2 linked regions of the Caenorhabditis elegans genome follow. The protein of the gene in region 1 purifies or fractionates together with the protein of each later gene. This does not show direct contact. Each region holds a gene or a part of one and is shown on either strand. Other genes may lie near its edges.

Region 1 (4,300 bases):
GGTACCGGTTTTAATTCAGCACAGTATTCCTTGTCATATCCTAGCTCTCTGATGGTTGCAGCAAGTGTACTTGAGAGGAGGAGGGCCCGGATGTCTCCCTGCAACAAATGTCCATCTGAGGATGTCAGTTGAAGTAATCGAGGTGGCGGACCGGACGGCTTTGGTACACTAAACGAAATATTAGATAATTATTTTTATCAAAATGTTATAAAAATACCTTGGTGGTGCTCGTTTTGTATTGTTCTTCTTCGGCATCTGCTTTCCGGACGAAATGTGATGTCTGAAATGGAAAAATTAGAAAGGAAACGAAATTTTGCTGAGAAAATGATCTTAAAAACTTTTTGTCGAACACCATTCGCCACAGAGCGCATTTGCGTTCTTGTTCTACTTCATTCGGCGGCAAATTCAAATTTTAAAACACCCTCGCACAACACAAAAAATCATCGTAAATATTAAAAACGATCAATATCATGCGAACCCCACACCAGAACAAATTCGAACGGTTTACAATTTTTAAATTTTAAGCTCTCTCAAATGTTACTAGTAGTAAGAACTGAACCTATATCGAAAGCATATCCATACGAGATCTCCGAAGATTGTAGGGAAGAGAAAATCTGGAAAATATTTTTCTATATTCTACCCCATATTTACAATAATAAATATTAAAAATATATAAATCAATAAGTGATCGTGTAATATCGATAGGGTTTCGCGCTCCACTGCACTCCCGCCAGCGGCTCTATCAAGTTCTTGAACATCAACAATCTAAGAATGAGCGTTATAATAAAAATAATTTTATTTGACATGCATTAAATAGGAAACATTGTAGAATAATCGACAAAACTTGGTGAATAGAGGGGACGAGATCAATACAGGCGGTTTTATATGAATACGAGATGACTACGAACATGATGTTTACTCAGTTTTCCTTTGTTTCTGAGGTTGATGGCATTTGAAGAACAGCCGGTTTGAATTTTGGAACGGGCTCGGACAGTTTGATATAGTTGTAACGCGGCGTCGGAGTCGCCAATTTCTTTTCAGCTTGAGCTTTCATACGACGTTCTGCCCATTCTGAAGTATCATCTTTGATGGAGGAACGAGTGGTGAATTTAGCTGCTGGTTTCTGGAAAAATAATTATTTATAGTGAAAAGTTGCACTTTTATCTACCTGTGGCGTAACGGCAATACTGGATAATGAATGCCCTAATTGAGGCATGGGTTCCACGTTTTTCGGTTTAATGAAGAATGATGGTCGTCCATTGTTAAGAGTTTTCAGAGGAGCAGCAAGAAGCGGGTGCTCGAAATCCTTATTGACAACTGGTGCAGCTTTTCTGTGAGCACATTTATTGTCGAATTGTAGTTGCACAATGTCCGCTTTGAGATTTTCTACTTCCTGTTGCAATCCACGAATAATTGTCACGTACTTTTCGTTGTCCTTCATCAAACCGTCAAAACCTCCTTTCACGCTCGCAATTGACAATTCGAACGACTTGAAGTAGCCGGTAATCAACGCTCCCACTTCGCGTTTTGGAATTGACCTCATTTTAATGAACATTCTTTCCCACAAATGAACCCTTTCCGTTTCCAGGTGACAAACTCTGTCTCTGAGACGACGCATCTCTTTGACATCAATATCACTTGTGGTCATTCGGGTAACGTTGAATCTTTTTGTGGATGACCGAAGTCTTTCTTCGACTTCTTCTACTTCCATTCGAAGACGTTTTACCATCCCTTTCAGTGCTCGATTCTCTCCATGAAGAACTTTCAGGTCTTCTTCAACCTTCCGCTCGGCATCAATAACCTGAAGAATATTAAAAAAAATGCAGTTAATTGATATTTTTTAACCTACCTCAGAAAACATTGAATTTCCGCGTGCCGCTAATTTTCCTTCATGGGAGTTTCTCTCATCAAAAAGCTCTCCTTCCAATCTGGCAATTTCCTCATCACGCGTCTCCATATGATTTTTGAGGTCCCGAATATGATCCATCATCGACTCAATTTCATCTTTCAAGTTGACCGCTTCTTTTTCGAGTTCGGCGTTTCGTTCGTAAAGAGCAGTCGCCGTCTCTTTGTATTTCTGACAATCTTCGCTAATACGAAGCATTTCAGATTCTCCGAAGGAATTGGAATCATCATGTTCGGGAATCACTGATCCGTTGGCAAACTCCTTATTCTGAGAATTCAATATATTAATGTTGCCCACAATGATGAAAACCTACAATTTTTTCGAGTTTGTCGATCTCACTACGCAGTGAATCGATGAGAGCGTCCCGATCAAGAATTGTGGCGTTTTTTCCGTCCATCTCAACATGAAGATCGCGAAGTTGTTCACTCAATTCTTGTGCACGTTCTTCGAGTGAAAGTTTGGAAGAACAAGGTTTTCCCTGATTTTTGAGATCGTCTTCCATCTCCTCGAGCATTTCATCTTTTTGACGGAGAATTTTCTTGAGCCTCTCAACGTCCTGAAATATTAGGTTTAGTTGGTAATAGATGAAATGATAAAACGTTACAGCAAGTAATTGGAGCTTCTCCTCGTCGTCAGGCATACTGATTGAAGTTCGATTCTTCTGAAAACATGAAAATGTTTCGATAGAAAACGATCAGTAGAATATTTTTCACGGCAACACGATTTATAAGAACGTTTCACGCAGATCTATAGCTTTTGATGTTTTAATAAAGCGTAAAATTGATTGCGAATATATTTAAACTAATTTTATGGGAATATTTTGAGCTAAATTATATCAAAACGATTGAAAAACAATATTTTTAGGTAAATTGAGGCGCAACTCATTTTGAAATGCGTTGAATACCGCTGGTTCCCGCCGAGAATTGGTTGTTCACGATAGAGCGCACTTGCATGTTTTTATTTTCGTCAATTATTTTCGGATTTATTTCTGAAGATTCAAGGAAAAAACGAGTCGCAATGGCTTCTGGAGGTATTCCCACGCCATTTATGGGAACTGGAGTTAAACAAGATCTTCATTTATTGTGCAACAAGTTTATATCTATGGGATCCAACAGGTATAGTTAGAAAATGTATTATTTGATGGAAAATCTTGATTAATTAAGAATTCGAGACTTTGCTGATGTTTTTCGGGATATGCATTTTGAGACCATTCTTCATTATCGATTAAATCCTGCCGAATGCTTAGAGGTAGCTTTATTTTGATTTTATTTAGTCTATTATAATATTCCGGCTTTCAGTTTACTGAATACCTGTTACAACACGCAGCAATGTATTTCGGAAAAGTGAATGAAGTTGGAGCATTCAGGGCATTCAAGGTTTGAAATAGAAGTAAAAATAAGTCTGAAATGTTATATTTTCAGGAGAGGCTATTCGGAGTTTATGTTTGCTATGCGTTGTACAATTTGCAGCCAGTTGATCATGTCTGTCAGGTGATTAATTCTAAGTTTAATTTAGTTTTAAAAAATTTAATTCAGATTCCGGTCACTGCGGTACAATTCGAAGAGCTTCTCGAATTTCAAAAATCTTTAGAAGTCGAAAAACTTCTTGAACCAATTGCGGCTCTCAAAATGCTTATTCTGAAGAAAGCGTTTAGAATTAAAGTGTTTCAGTCGACATATGATCCGGCAACCCACAAAAAATACCTTGCCGAGGAAGAGTTGCCCTATTTTAACAAAATTCCAGTTGTAAGTAAGTTAAATTATTGGAATTTTTTCATAAACAGTTTCAGGAGCCGTTTTCCAGTGTTACGAAAATGCTCAGTTCTGATATTATGACGGAATTATCATTTATTCACGGAGTTTACACAGAGGCTAAGCAAAAACTTGGACTAAGTGATACTCTAACGGGGCTCAAATCACCATTACACGAAATCAAGGGCATTGTCGAAAAATATAAAGAACAGTTCGAAAGTTCTCCAACAAATCCAGAAATTAGTAGCGCTCCAGAGGAAACAGCTGGTTCAAGCAGATCAACTTTGAGAAGTAAAGCATATGCTGAAGGACTAAAACACACTAGACAAAGAAGGCATCTTGATCCAAACATGGAAGGTACATTTATTACACGAAAATATGTTTTTTTTTTTCAAAAGTCAGCGTTCAACTTTTGCAGAAAACTTCAAACATCTTACCGCAAGAACGTTTGGTGACATCGCCCAGGAATGTTTGGATGATAATGATGCTCAGGTTCCAATGTAAGCAATTACAGTTTAACCCCAAAATAATAACCTATTTTTACAGCCCGATTGATCGCCCTGTAAGACAACGGCGACGCAGAAAAACGACAACAGTTAATCCTGAAGAGTTATTAGACGATAATGCATTGGCTGAAGAAGTT
Region 2 (7,911 bases), on another chromosome or scaffold:
CTTGATTCATAATTTTTTCATTCTTTTCATAGCACATCGTCGAGGCGCCGGCTCCAATAGAACTTGCTACATTTGGCATCAAACGAACAATGGTAGTGTTTCCCGAAACGAATGGCAACTGGAAAAATGTTATGTACAGCAAATTATGATTTCTAAAATTATTTTATAACTGCTTATAGTAATCACCTTCGCGTTGAGAACTTTTAATGGAACTCCAGCCATTACAGAAATAATAAATTCTGGTCTTGAGTTTACAGGCCAGCTTGACACAACTTCTTCGAAAACTTGAGGTTTCACACAAATCACATAGATTGCCGTCGAATATCTTTCCAGCATTTCCAGTGTGTTTGTGAAAACGTTTTTATATCCTAGTTGCCTCCATTTCTCAGCCGATTTTTCCGTTTGAACGCCAATTACAATATTGCTTTTCGGTGTAAAGCCTAAAAATTAGAAAACAATTTAATTCAAATCAACGAGGAGAACAATTTTTTAACTCACCTTTATTCTGGCATCCTTTTATAATTGCAGCGGCCATATTTCCACCTCCGATGAACACGAATGGCACAGACTCTGAGGACCCGTTTGTCAATTCAGTATCGATAGTCATGGTTTTGACTGAAATCAATAATAATTGTTTTTGACACAACAAAAAGCAACATATTAAAAAAAAAAGAAGAAGACATGAGCAGAGGTTTGCCCGCTTAACGAGATTCTGTTTCTCAACTGCGTCTCTGTGCGTTTAACATATAACTGGGTTCTATTTTATGTCTCTTGTTAGACGTCTAGACGTCTAAGTCTCCATTTATATAAAAGTTACAATAAGATATATTATGGTACATGCTGGGATCATTTTAGTACCGAAATTGACATGAAAAACTAGTATTCTATAAAAATTTGTATCTTAAAACCGTGAAAGGCACAGAAAGTCACCTAGATGATTATTTTGTCATCATTCCAGAGGCCGTATAGATAATAAAATATATTTGTCATCGGTTCAGTTTTGTCATCCTGCTCTGGAAAATAATTCAAAACGTTCAAACCACGAACAAAACAGTAGGAACAGGTGAAACACAGAAAATAAACACTTCAAAATTTCTTTAAAAAATGTAAAATTATTTTATTTATGATAAAAACTTGAAACATCTGAGCAGATACGGTAGACATATTAAAGGCGCATGCTGAATATTGGAGATGGGTTTTGGGACGAAAAACTACGGTCTTTTTTCGCCTGCCCGCGCAAATTTTAGGCGCGAATTTCTCTATATTTACACGAATCTTAATTCTTTTGGATATCATTTTAATTTTCAGTTATTTTCTCGCCTCATCCTAATAAATCGTTTCAGACTATTTATTTTTGATAAATATAGTGAAATTTCTGAATTTAAAGAAGTTTTCCGGTCTAAAATTACGTTTAAAAAAGCTGTATAGTTAGGAACACGTAATTTCCACGTTTCGATCAATTTTTACTGAATGTGTTAATTGTTTTTCATTATTTAATTTTTGTTCAACACAGTTAAAGGTAAGGAAATGTATGAGATTTGAAACGCTTTTCGTGTTTAGTTATTGGTTTTTTGCTTCAAAATTCAACTATTTGGTTCAAAAAAGTCTTGTTTCTCTCACTCTAACACTTGGAAATTGCGCCCTGCTGACACTTATTTCGGCGGCGAAAAACATTTTTTGAAATGAAATTGTTCACTCATTTTTATAATCGTTCTTCTGTTAAATTTTTTAATTAGAGATACCAGTGTATTATAATGTCGTATTTGCAGAATGGGTCGCCTAGGCGAAGCAAAAGCTGTGGACTTGGAAGCGGAAACGTCGACTGTGGGCCTTTATGATGTGTGCACCGTTGGGCGAATCCTTCCCCGTAAGAAAATAAAACTATTATCTTTATGATTAATGTAATTAAATGTATGTTTCAGTGTTAAATGAGATGTCAATCGATAAGAAATCTCCGGCATGGAAGCTCAAACCGAAAAGTAACGAGCGATTTCTTGTTCTTGCGTCGTGCTCCGATCTGGCAGTCTTCAGTCTTGGCGAGAAAAGCGACTACTCGTTCAACACCGGACTTGGAGGTATGAGCTATTTCAGAGTCTCTGGAATGATTTCTCAACATTTTCAGGAGCCATCACTGATTTCGAAATCCTTGGAAGTTCTTCCTTCTTTGTTGGAGTCATTGAACATCGTCGTATTGTAATTCTCTCGCTGGATAAACAAGAAATTTACTTGAACGAGCCAGCTCCTCATGAAATTGACTTCGTTGTCTGTCACACTACTTCCAGTGTTTGCCAATTGATTTTCGGGAGCCGATCTGATAATTGGCATACTATCACATTGCCAGGAGACGTGGCTGCATCTAAGGAGACTAACCGTTTCGAAAATTGGCACAGAGATCAGATTCAGGAATTTTTCCACCAGGTAACGCTCATCACATTCATTTAAAGTTTCAAATTAATTTTAATACTCTCTTTTCAGGCAATGGGAAAAACGGTTTCAAAGTCTGTTGACATGTCGAAGGTCGCAGGTGACATTACTCTGATCTCCAATGGGCCACTTCAGACGTTCGCTTCAATTGATCAGCAAAGAGGGATTCACTGGTGTGGTCTCGTCGAATCGGAGTTTGAGGTGATTGGCATGGAAAAACAATTCTTGCAAGTCCGTGATGGAGGTAGATTCTCTCTTCACCTCGACACGGATGGATGGATTCATGTCTTTGATTCATTGGTATCATCCTTCTGCCACGAATTTGACATGAAGATGTCTCCAGACGACAAAATTCTTGATTTTGTGATCATTGACAAGAATGAAGTTGAAGTTCCGAAGATGTTCGCAATTTTGGTTCTGCCACGTGACGGAGATAGCACAAAGGTATTTGAATCGTATTTGTTAAATTTTAATAATTTCTTTTTAGATGATGATATACGATCGATTGAATAAAGACAATTGTTTCGCTTTGGATTCATCCACGTCTACAACTCTTTTTGCTTATGGAGGAAGTGATCGTGTCTTGATAGCCGTTGAAGAATTGGAAAATTCTCTGGCAGACGAACAGGACGGCAGTCAAATTGTTGTCAGACAAGTCTCACAGTCTCGCCCTGAAATGCGTTTCGAATCTCTTCTGAAGAATAACAGATTTGAAGAAGCTGAGAAGTTCGCCATGGCATTCATGCTGGATGTACAAAAGGTTTACAAAGGACACGTACATTATCTGATGGACTCTTGTGATGAAAGCGATGAATCTTTTGAGACTCTGATGACGAAGATGGGACAAATTCAAGATCATAATATGGTTGCTGAAACATACTTCACTCTTGTTGGAATGAGTCGGCGCTGTGATCGTATCCGCACCTACTTGACTCATGCAAAGAAGCGCAGAATAACGGATCTGGATATTCTGAAAATGATTGAGGCACTTTGCTACACGTGGGGAACTTATCGAATCATTGCTGGTCCAGAAGAAAACGAACCAAGTCGTCCACAAGTTAATGAAACGATTTGGGATTTGTTCGTCGAAGCTTTGCATGATGCGAACCCGTGGATCGAAATCTATAATGAATTCATTTCTGACGCCCAGTTCACTGTCAGTTTCAATCTTATGAAGTTTTTTGTACTCAATCATACAATTTTTCAGCAAGCCCGTGTTATCTTCAGTCGCCATGGGAAATCTATAACTGATTATATGTGTGATGATGAGGAGAACACCATTTCTCGTCTTGAAACACTTTTCCGAATGTTCATCGATGCGATTTCTTCTGATATCAGCAAATGGAGCAATGTGATCGAACACGTAACGACAGACATTTTACCAGCATGTGTCATGATTACAGAAGAGGTGATTTTTAAATTAAAATTTAACTATGTTTAAATCTTTCTTTTTCAGCTAATTCCATGCCTCGAATCACTCATCACTTCTCTTATTTCACTTCTTGAATATCGAGATTCTACAAATTGGCCTGAGAATGCAATCAAAGCAGCAAGCAGTTACGATACCATGACCAAAATATTGTCGAACAATGGAAATACTCCAGCTACACAATGTATTCTGGTAATGTATGGAAGCAAGTTGGGATCTTCTGCCGGTAACAAGCCTTCGTCAATGTCACGGATCAAGAAGATATACTATGATTTGATTGAATTGAAACGCCTGAAAGATGTTTACGAGTGTTCAATCAGTTTCTCAGTATTCCAAAATATGTCATCTGAACAAATTTGCCACAAGATTCTTCAAAATGCGTTGGCCAACCCAAACATGACACATGCCAAAATTGAGAAATTCGTGAAGCCGTTCATGGCTGAACGTCATCTTGATCAGGAACAAACAATCGTCAATTATATCCAGATGATGTCAGGAGCTGCAGTGACAAATGCAAATCTTTTTGGATGGGAGAAACAATGTGTGCAGTTATGTGCAAGTCTCATGGATGAAACTCGACGTTGTTGCTCCATCATCTCGATCGCTTCAACTGCTAAGATTCCATGGCCAGCTGAACTGAATGAAGCTGTGGAGAAGATCCTTGCAAGTCGTACACTCCTGAGATCAGAAATTGAACAAATGCATTTGGTTTGTAAACGTACCGAACTCTACAAGATGTTATCGTCGTATGGCTTCAGTCGACAGGACATCGAACTGCTGACTACTCCTGACTCAAATATGGACATTATCTTGACAATTCGCTGCATGCTTGCTCATCGTGAAAAGGCTTCTCGATTTGTGGATGTGATCAAGTTGGTGGATTTGCTCAAAGCAATGCAAGGAAGCTCTCAACCTCGTACATTGAGAATTGAATATGTGCAATCATTTGCAATTATTCATATGATGTCTCATCAAGATGTAACCATTTCAATTATCAATTACATTGATAGTCTTGGCGATCGTGAACGAGTAAAGACAATATCTCTTGTATTTTCATTCATCGAATGCGTTGCCAATGCACCAGCAACTGGAGACAACGTCTTGGAACGCGAAAAGATCCTCGGGGTTGGTGAAGAGCTGATGTCTCACTATACATGTCGTGATAATAATTTCAATGATCCTGAAAGACGTTTAAAGGATGAGCTTGTCCTTCTTCGCGAAGTCCAGAAAACTGAGACTAAAGCAGTTCTTTTGTCTGAATTGAAAGATGAAGATTGGCAGCGACGGTTCTTGGAAAGATTGATCGAATCAAATTCGTCGATGAGCTTGGTAATTTTTATTTAATATGAACGGAATATTTTTATTATTAATTTCAGAATCTTGGAAGATGTAGCTACATGGGAATTTCACCGGAACATCTCATTGAAATGATTTTAACGAAAGCTACGGTAGAAAACGACATGGACACAATTGTTGATAGTATCACGAATTATGTCGAGTTCATAAATTCATTGACGGATTCTTCTCGGGAAATGCTTGAACCTATCGTGCAAATTCTGAGCTGGATTACATTCAGACTTCCGAAGTTACTACCAAATGAGACTGAGATGGCACGTGCTGACTATGTAAGTGATGGTTTCTGCAAACTATAAAAATAATTGATTTTCAGATTGCTTTCGTTGTCAAACGTATCGGCCGTGTTGTTCGGGAGACACTCAGACGCTTCTCTTTTGATGTTATTAGCGACGATCTTGATTATCTTCTACAATTGGAAGCATTTTATCACTTGGGAGAGCACATTATCAAGCAGTCACTACGAGGCCAAGAGAATGAAAATGAAAAGCAAGAAATGTTCAGATCAGACGATGATACATTCTTACCAACTGATTCTTCGAATCCATTTTCCAATCAGTCATCTCTCCGCATTTTTGAGTTCAAACGCCCACTGGGAACATTTGATTTCTCCAACGATCCAGCTTTATTTGAAGGAGTTCAAGGAGTTCTTGCTCTTGCGATGGTTGCACCTTCTGTTGCCAGGCCATATGATTCTGAGATCTCACCAGATGATGCGAATGAATTCAGATCAAGTTGGGAGCAACTAAACATGTTCCTTGCAATGCATTCACAAGATCTTCTGGATATTTCAGCTCGTGTGTTTGCCGGATCTCTCAGTAAGATTTATTTCCATTTTCAATTTTTTATTTTTCATTTCAGAATGTTGGGCTGGTGAATATCTACAAGGAATCGTTGAAATGGAGCAACCCATTCTGTCAGTCGTCGAAAGAATGCTGCAACAGAAAAAATTCGATTTCTGGCATGCAGTTACTCTTCTTGGTGGAATCCCGTTGGAACGATTAGACAGAGCTATAATCGATCTCCAGAAACGACAAGGTGTGAGAAGTTCGACGAAAGCGACAATCCAGTATCTTCAATTAGCTTTTGTGATGAGTTTGTTGGCTAGAAATATGGAAAAAGTTCCCACAATCGTTTCTGCTTATGAACAAAAGTATTTGGTGAAGAAGCTTGCTGAAGAAGGCATTCGTGTCTCAATTACTCAAGACTTTGTCGATAAAGTTCTACAACAGGCGATAGATCTGCGACAGCCACTCTCTCCATTGCGTCTTCATGAGTGAGTTTCATAAAATAATAGAAAAAATAATTTTGAATATTTCAGTTATGTCAAGAAGTATGTCGAAAAGTTGATTCGGAACTCGAAGATTTCAGTTGGAGAATACATGGTTCGATATGCGACTCTTCTCATTCGAAAAGCGTCTGTTGCTGGACGACACACTGATCGGGAAATTCGCAAAGAAGAAATAGAGAAGTACATCGAAGCAGCTAGAATCGCGTTGAGAGTAATAGTTGTTGAGTGATAATCTTTTGAAAATCTGTTTTCTTTTCAGATTGCCGAGGAAGAAGATGCTTCTTGCATTTGTAATTATCTCCATTGTTTGCTTTACGTTGTGTGTCCATATAACTACGAAGTCATCCAATTTATTGTAACTTCGTATGGAAAGTATGCCACTGAAACAGTCGAGATTGAATTTAATAAAAACTTGAAATCGGTGAGCCAATATTTAAAAAATAAAATTCAATTCATCAATGATTCAGATAATGGCATTCTTATGGGCTTATCAACGTACAAATCATATCAGTAATGAGGAATCAATTTGGTTTACGAAGCGAGAGAGTGTTCTAATGAAAGATGAGAAAGAGTTTGAGAAAACTGGAAGAATGCTCGATCCATTTGGACATTCACTTCGTGTTGTCTATGAAGATGACGGAAGCAATATGTCAGATTCGTATAATTCGGATTTGGCACTTTCAAGTGATGCCATGGTTTATGAGAGGAACAGTGTGATTATCAGTGATCTGCCAAGCCTTGTATGTCGACTGGCAATCATTTAATTGAAATCAAAATATTCTTTAATTTTAGGCGGAGCAATATCTTCCATTCCATGCATTCCTTCTTCGCAAAAAAGAGGAAATTGACGAAATTGTGATGGGAATTGTGAAAGCAGAATTATCGATCTTCAATGTTCCAATCTGGCAAACATTCCTCCGTGAAGTTTCTTGGCTATCCTCACGGTTTTCGCGTTCGCAACTTTTGTCATCTGCAATTTTTGCTCACGCCAACAAATATGCAAAGTTTGGAAAGAGTCTACCAGATGGAGAACGAAACGTGATTTATGAACTTCTTAATTCTGCGTCTCAACGTCATGTTGTGGTTTCGACGATCGCTCTTCTATTCAAAAGAATCATTCTCAGTGATGTTAAAATTGAACTTCTTCAAATGGGAGTCAATATTTCGGAGAGATGGACTTCTGATTTAACTGGTGAAGAACAACAGGAAATGGAAGAACAAAGTGCTCGATTGAAAGACGGAATCGCAAAGTTTTCTACCGAACTTGAACTGAAAAAGAATGGACTGTACAATGAAAAAACTGCGGATAACATTGAAAATGTATCTGAACTATGTTCATTAATTTACAATGAAATGGTCCAGTGGGATGATTCTAGAGATGTTCTCAAAAAGTGTCAAGTGGTGGATAAAATTG

The links.
Region 2: the proteins of spdl-1 (region 1) and rod-1 purify together in Caenorhabditis elegans (affinity purification with western blotting, with the first as the bait; one study listed by BioGRID). This does not show direct contact.

Annotation. Positions count from the first base shown.
Region 1 is NC_003280.10:7,779,833-7,784,132, reverse strand, and holds spdl-1 (Spindly-like protein spdl-1), read right to left. Parts: upstream 2,568-4,300; 5' UTR 2,547-2,567; coding exon 2,511-2,546; intron 2,463-2,510; coding exon 2,220-2,462; intron 2,174-2,219; coding exon 1,850-2,173; intron 1,802-1,849; coding exon 1,169-1,801; intron 1,124-1,168; coding exon 920-1,123; 3' UTR 782-919; downstream 1-781. Other genes in the region: skr-17 (Skp1-related protein), read right to left, coding at 1-168, 218-255; snpc-1.1 (snRNA-activating protein complex subunit 1), read left to right, coding at 2,924-3,021, 3,070-3,154, 3,205-3,282, 3,328-3,396, 3,442-3,651, 3,696-4,014, 4,076-4,157, 4,204-4,300. UniProt on the Caenorhabditis elegans protein: Transient kinetochore component required for chromosome and spindle pole alignment and chromosome segregation during mitosis.
Region 2 is NC_003282.8:7,476,683-7,484,593, forward strand, and holds the start of rod-1 (Kinetochore-associated protein rod-1), read left to right. Parts: upstream 1-1,769; 5' UTR 1,770-1,770; coding exon 1,771-1,867; intron 1,868-1,922; coding exon 1,923-2,075; intron 2,076-2,122; coding exon 2,123-2,418; intron 2,419-2,475; coding exon 2,476-2,868; intron 2,869-2,911; coding exon 2,912-3,580; intron 3,581-3,631; coding exon 3,632-3,832; intron 3,833-3,880; coding exon 3,881-5,182; intron 5,183-5,229; coding exon 5,230-5,478; intron 5,479-5,522; coding exon 5,523-6,024; intron 6,025-6,067; coding exon 6,068-6,482; intron 6,483-6,527; coding exon 6,528-6,708; intron 6,709-6,756; coding exon 6,757-6,918; intron 6,919-6,964; coding exon 6,965-7,237; intron 7,238-7,289; coding exon 7,290-7,911. Other genes in the region: pycr-4 (Putative pyrroline-5-carboxylate reductase 4), read right to left, coding at 1-118, 187-440, 499-607. UniProt on the Caenorhabditis elegans protein: Essential component of the mitotic checkpoint, which prevents cells from prematurely exiting mitosis. Required for chromosome segregation, the assembly of the dynein-dynactin and mdf-1-mdf-2 complexes onto kinetochores and spindle pole separation.